Linked DNA regions of Drosophila melanogaster. The protein of the gene in region 2 purifies or fractionates together with the protein of the main gene of each other region. This does not show direct contact. Each region holds a gene or a part of one and is shown on either strand. Other genes may lie near its edges. The genes, in order: MESR6 and Acat1.

Region 1 (4,658 bases), on a different chromosome or scaffold from region 2:
GATACAAGAACAAAAACGAGAAGCCAAATTGCAGCCAATTGATCGAGTTAAGGGGCCGATGCTCTCGAAGTTGGCACTTCCGTTGCGTTATAAGGGCTGGGGAAAGCCCCCCAATCAAAAACAATTTCTCTCAGTGTGCCAGCGAGCTCGATAATTAGGCGGTCAACATAAGTAACATGGAGATATAGATCTTTCATGGAATCTTCGTCCTTGATTACTGCTCTAAAACCTATAATTGAGCATAATATTTTGGTCAGCAAATCAACTTATACTGGTAACAATTTGATAAGAAAATGTGTGAATTTTTAAGTACTATTTATTACTAGTTTCTAGTGATGCAGTTGTAGTTGTACGGCAATGAAATGAAAAACTTCAACGAGAGCAGACTTCAATCCTAAACGGATTAATTAAGATATCGTGGTAGTAAAGATTTTACATGGCAACGTGGTACTCGGCGTAATGGACGCCACCGAGGGTGTTTCGGCCCACGCGAAAACTTGGCCAAAAATAAAATGTAAACGGTAATAAAAGAAGAGTGTCGCCTATGTATGTACAGGGACACCCACAAAAGTCTATATACAGTTATATTTTTTGATAACGCTCGACGGCGGAAACATTGCACGCCAACGCCCGAGCAGCGCTGTCGGCGCTTTTCCAGACAACCGAGCCGCGCCATTCATTTCCACCAGCTGCAAAGGGCGAAAAAGACGAACGCAGATACTAGCGCTCAGATACAGATACAAAGTCGAACTCGCAGATACACAGACACACACACACACAGCGGCAGTGTTTTACGCATTCCAATCAGCCATGTGGGCGTCCGATTCCCTCCGCTGCAAATGCAAATGTATATATATACACATAGATATACAAATATATACCTACTACATATGTACAGATATAATAAAAACTTATGAATGAAAAGCTTCTGCGCAGCGTGGGCGGAACGCTGGGCCAGCTTTTTGGGGGCTAAAAGCTCCAGAGGCCGCTCAGCACCCCCCGACCCCCGCCCCCCATCACTCGCTCGATGGCAATCGCATTATGCCAGCGTCCAAGCTGCGGATACACACGGAATATTGATTGGAGGCAAAGTCTCCAAATCTGAAGTAACCTTGAAATGTGGGTGGCCGGTGGGCCGAAGGTTGAGGATAAAAGGGTCTTGTGGGGGGGGGGGGCGAGTTGCTGGAGGGGAGTGTGAGACATTTGGATTGCGGATGGCAAAGAGCTCGTGTGCTGGCTGAGCTTATAAAGTGCTGTTTAATTAATGAACACTGCTGTTCGAAAAATTGTTTCAAGAACTTGCAAATTGAAATTCAAATCTTTCCTTGGTTGCACGAGAGTCGCAAGAAGAAGGTTACTCCCTAGTGTCTCGACTATGAGATACTCTCTCCTTACTTCTTATTTTCGTTTACCACTATCAAAGTGATATGAATATAGAAATAGGTGTACTATTTTGATAATATTAAAATATTTTTTTTTTTAGTTTTTAATAAATTTTGTTATTTTTAACATTTTTAACATTTTCTAGATTCTACATTCTAGATTCTAGATTTCAAAGCGAATGCTTTAAAAAATCAAATTTATTTTAAGTTATATCAAAAAATACTCAACGTCTCAAGTAATTGACAAAATAAGGTACAATATATGGAAAATGTGTAGAAAAAACTTTTAAATTAAACGGACACAACTTTAATCGATACATCGATAGTTGGGTCCTATGTAATGTGACCTTATTATAGGGCTACCATTTTTAGCAATACGGGAAACTTGTGCTAGACAGCAATCTGGTCACACTGCCAAACAGCTGTTAATGGTCAAAGACCCCCAAAATATTAAATACAAAAGAAATTAAGTCTGCTTACCGTGCAAGTAATTGAACAGTGTGCTAAGGACCCAGTTGTACAGTCAAAGTAATCCCGAGGGAAATGGAATCGGATACGCTGGACCAGGAGAGTGCCGCGGCTGCTCTAAAAAAACTATCGCCAAGTGAAAGTCCCGAAAGTTCGAAGAAATGGGAGCCGACTTCGGGAGAGTGGGTTGCGGCGGGTGGGGGAGAAGAGGCGCCGCCAACAAAGAGACAAAAGACTGCAGACGAAAAGGAGGAGAATCGGGAGGAAGACGAGGATAGCGAGGAGAGCGTTGATGAGGAGGAGGATGATGGCGAGGGCATCGTCCAGATTGGCGGCACCATCAGCCCAAGGCATTTCCAGCGCATCCCCGTCTTTATCGTCGACTACCACAACGATGTGCTGGAGTTCATCTACCGCTGCTTTGCCACCCGCCACCTTCCGCTGCAGAACAACACCCTTGTCCACTTCGACTCGCATCCGGATCTGGTCATTCCACGGCACATTGCCGCCAGTTCCACCTACCAAAAGGAAACCATGTTAAATGAGCTTAGCATCGAGAACTGGATCATGCCCACACTTTATGCAGGTGAGGATTTCTATGGGGAATCGAAGAGAACTATATTATATAGAAATATAATATTAAATGCTATTATTTTATTTCTAGAAATAGAAAACAATGTAAAAGGACAAATAAAAAAGTTCTATGGTCTAATTTTACTAAGAACTTAATATTTAAAGATTATCTCTTAGTAACTGCTAAATATCCATTGAGTACTGTTGTCAAAAAGATTCCTTTCTACATTTAAAGGATTTCAAACCAAAAACTTATTAACTGTGATGAGTCTAATGACATTAATTAGCTATAATTGCATTTTCTTATAGAAATTAGTGTAAAATAATAACTTATTGCTATATTACTTGCTCTTAGGACATTTCAACCGCGTCGTGTGGCTGAAGAACTCATGGTGCCAGCAGCTGCCCACTGGCAGGCACGACTTTAAGGTTGGACAAAAGGACGATCGCATTGGAGTGGACTGTCCGTTGGACTACTTTATTGCCGACGGCAACTACTGCACTACGGAGGATCTGCAGGATGCCAAGAGCGTGGAGCTGCAGGTTCACGATGCAGACAACGAAAGCCTCAATCCGAACGAATTCCTAACGGAGAAGGACGCCAAGGGATTCGTGCTGGACATAGACCTCGACTTTTTCAGCACCTCCAACCCCTTCTTGGAAATATACAAGGATGCCGATTGCTACAATCAGCTAAAGGAGATCTTCCACTTCGAAAGCGTGGAGAAGGTGAAGAAGTCGGGCACGGCTACTATAGCAGATTATTTGGCCACGGCAGAGAGGCGACAGACTCAGTTGGATGCACTGAAGACGATTTTCTGGCATCTGGAGGAGGAGCGCAATTTCGAGGGACTGGAAAAGCCGGACGAGACCGTGGTCACGCCCGAAGTGTACGCCAAGATTGTGAAACTGGCCGATCAGCTGCAGGAGAAATATCCAGACGATGAAATCGACTGGCATTTGATCTTCGATTCGGGCAGCACCACCGATAATAATGGCTTGCCCCACCACATCAGCATCGCCGAAGAGTTGGAAACGTACTTTGCAAACTTCAAGCGTTTCTTACAGCGCCTGCCAGTTCCTCCAGTGGCCATTACAATGGCCCATTCCGCTCAAGATGACTACTGCCCCCAGGATCAGGTGGCATTCATTGAGGAATGCGTTCTACGCCTGCTTAAGGAGGTTTTTGGCGAAAGACTGCACGACAAAGCCATCCTGCACTATATGGACGATCCTTGGGATGTGATGAAGCTCTAAGCTTATGGATAACTAGGGGTTCTTTCGCCCGCCACTGCGAATTAGATTCTGAATTTACAAAACTCGTTTGGGCGGGAAAACTCCACGACTAAAAGATACCCGTAGTGATTTCGAATTAGAACCTAATGATGGAAAATCCAATACTAATTATAATAATATTTTTTACTTTGAAATATACGCGAAGTATTTATTACAGACAATTAAACAAACTCATTTAATGCAAATTGGGTATATTCAAAATAATTTGTTTTTAAACTTTGAAAGGTTTCGCGACGAGATACCTTTTAAACGACATATTAGGTGCCCCAGTAAAATCAAAATGTGTATGCACAGATAATCTATATTTAATCGTAAATACTAAATGTTAGTTATAAAATGTACATGTATTTAAGGATAACTCTCTTCCATTCAGTGCCGTAGGTTCCTAGAAAATGCGCAAAATCTCATTTATTGACATGGACATGGCATGAACACCTGAATTTCTGGCTGGGGGTTATGACTGGCCACCTCATTGAGGGCAGTCAACTTTTAATTGTCGACCCCAATTCGTGGCCGAAATCAATAAGCCAATGGCCCCAGGCGAAACTTTCAGTAGCATTCTGTGGCTCAGTCGTTGTGGAAGTTATACAGATTAGCTTGAGAGACATAGTGAGTTCACTTAAGCTAATTAAACACTTTTCGCTTTGTTCTATAGGTGGTAAAACTTAAAATGATTTCCATTTCGAAAAAAAGTAAGATCATTGGAATTTAAGTAACTACTACATTTAGTTTGTCAATGCTTGAGTTCATTCAAAAACTAAAATTTGTGTTACTTTTAAAAATTGCATCGACAACAGCTGCACTACATCTACATTTTTCGACATGGAATTACAATATGGTAGGGATTCCTAGGATATACTTGGATTATTTGGCTCACAGCTCCTCCTTGTCGCCCTTGGCTTTTTCCCTTTTGGCCTTTTTAGCCTCCGGAGGAGCAAG
Region 2 (4,073 bases):
TAGATCGGTGTACGCTGCGAGAAGGAGCCGGCTCACATCCACTTTTCTTTGGCCTGATTTCCCAGGATGCACTTCTCCATCTCACCCAACGGGGCCATCGGGCTGGAGCGTATCACATCATACCGCAAGACGTTCTGGAGCAGCAGCTGGCCATTTATCTGCAGAAGCACTCGCATCTGGCCAGCCACTTGGACCACCTCGTCATGTCCATTCGATCCGTTGGCCTGGTGCACCACTGGGCGGGCCAAATGGCTAGCGAGCGGTACTTCCGCAGTCGGTTCCTGTACCGGGAGAAGCGCATCCGACAGCCGGATCTGTGGGCGGTCTACATCCTGACCGCAGGACTATATCTCCTGTCGCTGGTCGTCTTCATATGCGAACTTCTGGCCTCCAGACGAGCAGGGCTCTGAACAAAATATTTTACTTATTATTACTAAATAAATTATGAAAACAAGAGAGAATGCTAATGCTTTTACTTTACGAGTAACGGGTATAATATCCTTAAATGCCGAAATTATCATTTTTTTAGGTATATATTAAATGGTGAATTTATAGGCATATATATATATATATATAAATTCAACAATAAAGAACATTTTCAGCACTTAATTCATTTTTTTCACAGAACAAATATAAGATGTTTAGACTTTGAACCCTATTACCGTCATGGAAGAACACTGATTTGATATACATATAATAATTATTGACTGTTTCATAATTTTATTATGCAAATCACAATAGTTCGTTAAATGCGGCCACGCGCAATCAAGACACTTAACAATTTAAAAAAAAACATAGAGCTTTCCACAATAATCTCGATGGATCAGTAGTAAATGCATTTCTGGTTGAGAGCAGGTCCGCCAGGTGACCTTTACAGCTTCTCGATGAGAATGGAGGAGGCTCCACCGCCGCCATTGCAAATGGAGGCGCATCCCAGCTCGCCCTTCTTCAGGCTGTGCGAAAGATGGGCCACCAGACGGGCTCCGGACATGCCGATTGGATGGCCAATTGACACGGCACCTCCATGAACATTAACCTTGGCTGGATCCACATCCAGTTTCTTGATATTGGCCAAAACGACCAGGGAGAAGGCCTCATTGACCTCCCACATGGCCACGTCTTCCTTGCGAACGCCGGCACGCTTCAGTAATTTGGGAATGGCCAGAGCTGGGGCAATGGGGAAGTCAATGGGATCGGTCTCCGCATCCTGGAAGGCCACAATCCTGGCCAGCGGCTTAATGCCCGCCTTCTGGGCTGCCTCGGCACTCATCAAAACCACGGCGGCACCGCCATCATTCAAGGTGGATGCATTTCCGGCTGTCACAGTGCCATTTTCCCTTTGGAAAACGGTGGCCAACTGTCCAAACTTGTCAAAATTCACCCGCTTGTACTCCTCATCCTCTGAGATGACGATCTCCGGCTTCCTCTTCTGCTGAATCTTCACCGGGGCAATCTCGTCCTGGAACACCTTGTTGGCCCACGCGGCAGCCGATCTCTTGTATGATTCAATGGCAAAGTCATCCTGCTGCTGACGTGTGATCTCCAGTTTTTTGGCCGTATTTTCGGCACAGTTGCCCATGTGGAACTTGTTGTACACATCCCAGAGGCCATCGAAAACAATGCCGTCGGTGAGATTGACGCCGCCATAGGGCGTGGCTCCCCTCTTCAGATAGTAGGGAACATTCGACATGGACTCCATACCGCCGGCAACGACCACATCAGCATAGCCGAGCATCAGGGATTGGGCGCCCAGCATAACGGCCTTCATGCCCGACGAGCACACCTTGTTCACCGTGGTGCAGCATACATTGGTGGGCAGTCCGGCGAAGATGGCAGCCTGACGGGCGGGGGCCTGTCCCAGACCAGCAGATACCACATTGCCCATAATCACCTCCTGGACATCGGTCTTCGCAATTCCGGCCTTTTCGATGGCCGCCTCGATGGCACGGGCTCCCAATTGGGTAGCCGTCAGTGGGGCCAATTGACTTTGGAAGCTGCCAATTGGTGTGCGGGCTGCCGAAACCACCACAACTTCGGCGATTTTGGAGCTGTAGTTGCGATGGGCGCTCCAGCGACGCGTGGCCTGCAGCAGTCGGGCGGACATCTTGGAATTTAATTAATTTGTATTAACTAGCACAGCAATCACACAGGTAAATGGCAAGAATCCAATCAGAAATCACGCCAGACCTGTTGCTTGCGTAACAAACCGGTAATCGGTCTATCGATAGGCAACAGCTGGCGCGGTAAAAGTGTTGGCAACTGTTAAATAAGATTAAAGCGACTGGTAATTTTCTATTAGTTAGCATTCTTTAAATGTAATTTTTAATTTTTGCTGTTTTAAGTATATTGCTTGAAAACTACGCTGTAAAGATGCAATGCTAAGTTTATATATTCTTTTTACAATACCCAGCACTGAAAATGCGTAAATTGAACTTAACGGTTACAAGCGAACAACAATAAATAAAAACACGAAAATTGAAATTTTAAACACAAATGTATCTCATTTCATCAATATTTATTTTAAGACTAATGCAAATTGCACAATGAATGGCAGCTGAAAAAACTGGAATCTTAATGCTAATAATACGTGTTTAAAATATGGCATTCAAAAAAATTTTTGCATAAAAAAAATGTAAATATTTCGGAACTTATTCCACATCACAACGCTCATAGTCTCCATGGTTGCCATGGCTCCTGGACTGCACATCTTTCCTGATCAATTTGATCAGATCACCATCTGGTCGCGCGTTGTTAGCTTCTGATGGCCAGTGGCCACCACCAAAGACCTCCGCATGCGGTTCCGCTGCAGCGTGGAATTCCGTTCCCTCACCGATTGCCGCAGATGCTGGCGACGTGCTCCTCCGGGTCCAGAACCAACGACTCCACCTCCGCTTGCCTCCCTCTCGGCTGCATTCATGGCCGCCAGCAGCTCGAAGGCTTGTTTCTTCTGCTCCTTTGTCCAGAGATTGGCCACTGGTGGAACTTCTGCCGGCTGTTCCTGCGTGATCGGTGGCTTGACGGCCAAAGGAGGTCGCTGCACGCGAGTTGCAGCTGCTTGGGCTACCTGGTTGACCGATGGCAAGGATTTGGATGTCGCCTTGGATCCGCGACTCAACCCGAAAAGCGAGAGTATAGATTTCCTGCGGGTGGAGGAGGCCTGGCTGTCACCGGAATCATTGCTGGATACGCTCATTTGCATGGGAACGCCAGTGGGCGGAGGATTCACTGCCGGTTTAACCGCCGGTGGGGGCATATTCTCGATACCATAGGTAACAAACTTTTGGGGCGACTTGAAGGTAACCTTACGCAGAGTATTTAGCGATTTTGGTGCCGGAAGTGTGGCTAAATTGAGTTTAGCCACCGTGGGCGACGTCTCGTTGAGTTCGATAGTGCAGTAGGTGTCATCATGGTGCGATTTCGCTGGCTTCCTAGGAGGAATGGGCGGAGCTATCGGCTGTCTGCAACTACAAGTGTGTTTCTCCTGCTGAAGAAGTTTTTCCTGCATCTGCCGCTCCAGCGTTTGCACGCGCTGTTCGGCCAGCTGTAACTCCTGCTCCCGGGTCTGCAGCTCTTCGAGCTTCTGCTGCAACAGGGATTCTTGGGCACGAATGGCGTGGAGACGGGTCTTTAGTACTTCATCGAATATGTTTTGGGTAAGAGCACGAGGACTGCTAGGGGCCTCCTTTAGAAGCTCCTGATCCCTTTTCTGCTGCTCCTGATCCTTTTTACGGCGCCGCTCTTCCGCCAGTTCCACCTGCCTCTCCTCCGCTCGCTCCTCTCTCCTTATACTTTCATAAAGAGAGGGATCCGACAGCTGTAGTTTCTTGGCAGGAAAGATTTTGCGCTTGGCGGAGTAGAAGAGTTCACTTCGCAAATCTGGAGTAAACACACCAGTAACGCTGAGTCTCCTTTGCCCATAGCCTTCATTGAAGCTGTACTGTTCCGTAAACATGGTGCTCGATAGCTCTGGATGAACTCCATCTTCCTCTTCGTCCTCGAAAAGCCTGGCACCCGAAGGCAGTGTGTAGAAATCCTCTCCAGAATCAACTAGAATTGGGAACTTGCCATCCAAC

What was found.
Region 1: the proteins of Acat1 (region 2) and MESR6 purify together in Drosophila melanogaster (affinity purification with mass spectrometry, with the first as the bait; one large-scale study listed by BioGRID). This does not show direct contact.

Annotation. Positions count from the first base shown.
Region 1 is NT_037436.4:19,090,885-19,095,542, forward strand, and holds MESR6 (misexpression suppressor of ras 6), read left to right. Parts: upstream 1-1,785; 5' UTR 1,786-1,925; coding exon 1,926-2,436; intron 2,437-2,514; coding exon 2,515-2,556; intron 2,557-2,778; coding exon 2,779-3,680; 3' UTR 3,681-3,876; downstream 3,877-4,658. Other genes in the region: CNPYb (canopy b), read right to left, coding at 4,593-4,658.
Region 2 is NC_004354.4:7,886,567-7,890,639, forward strand, and holds Acat1 (Acetyl-CoA acetyltransferase 1), read right to left. Parts: upstream 2,220-4,073; 5' UTR 2,105-2,219; coding exon 872-2,104; 3' UTR 564-871; downstream 1-563. Other genes in the region: Nek2, read right to left, coding at 2,726-4,073.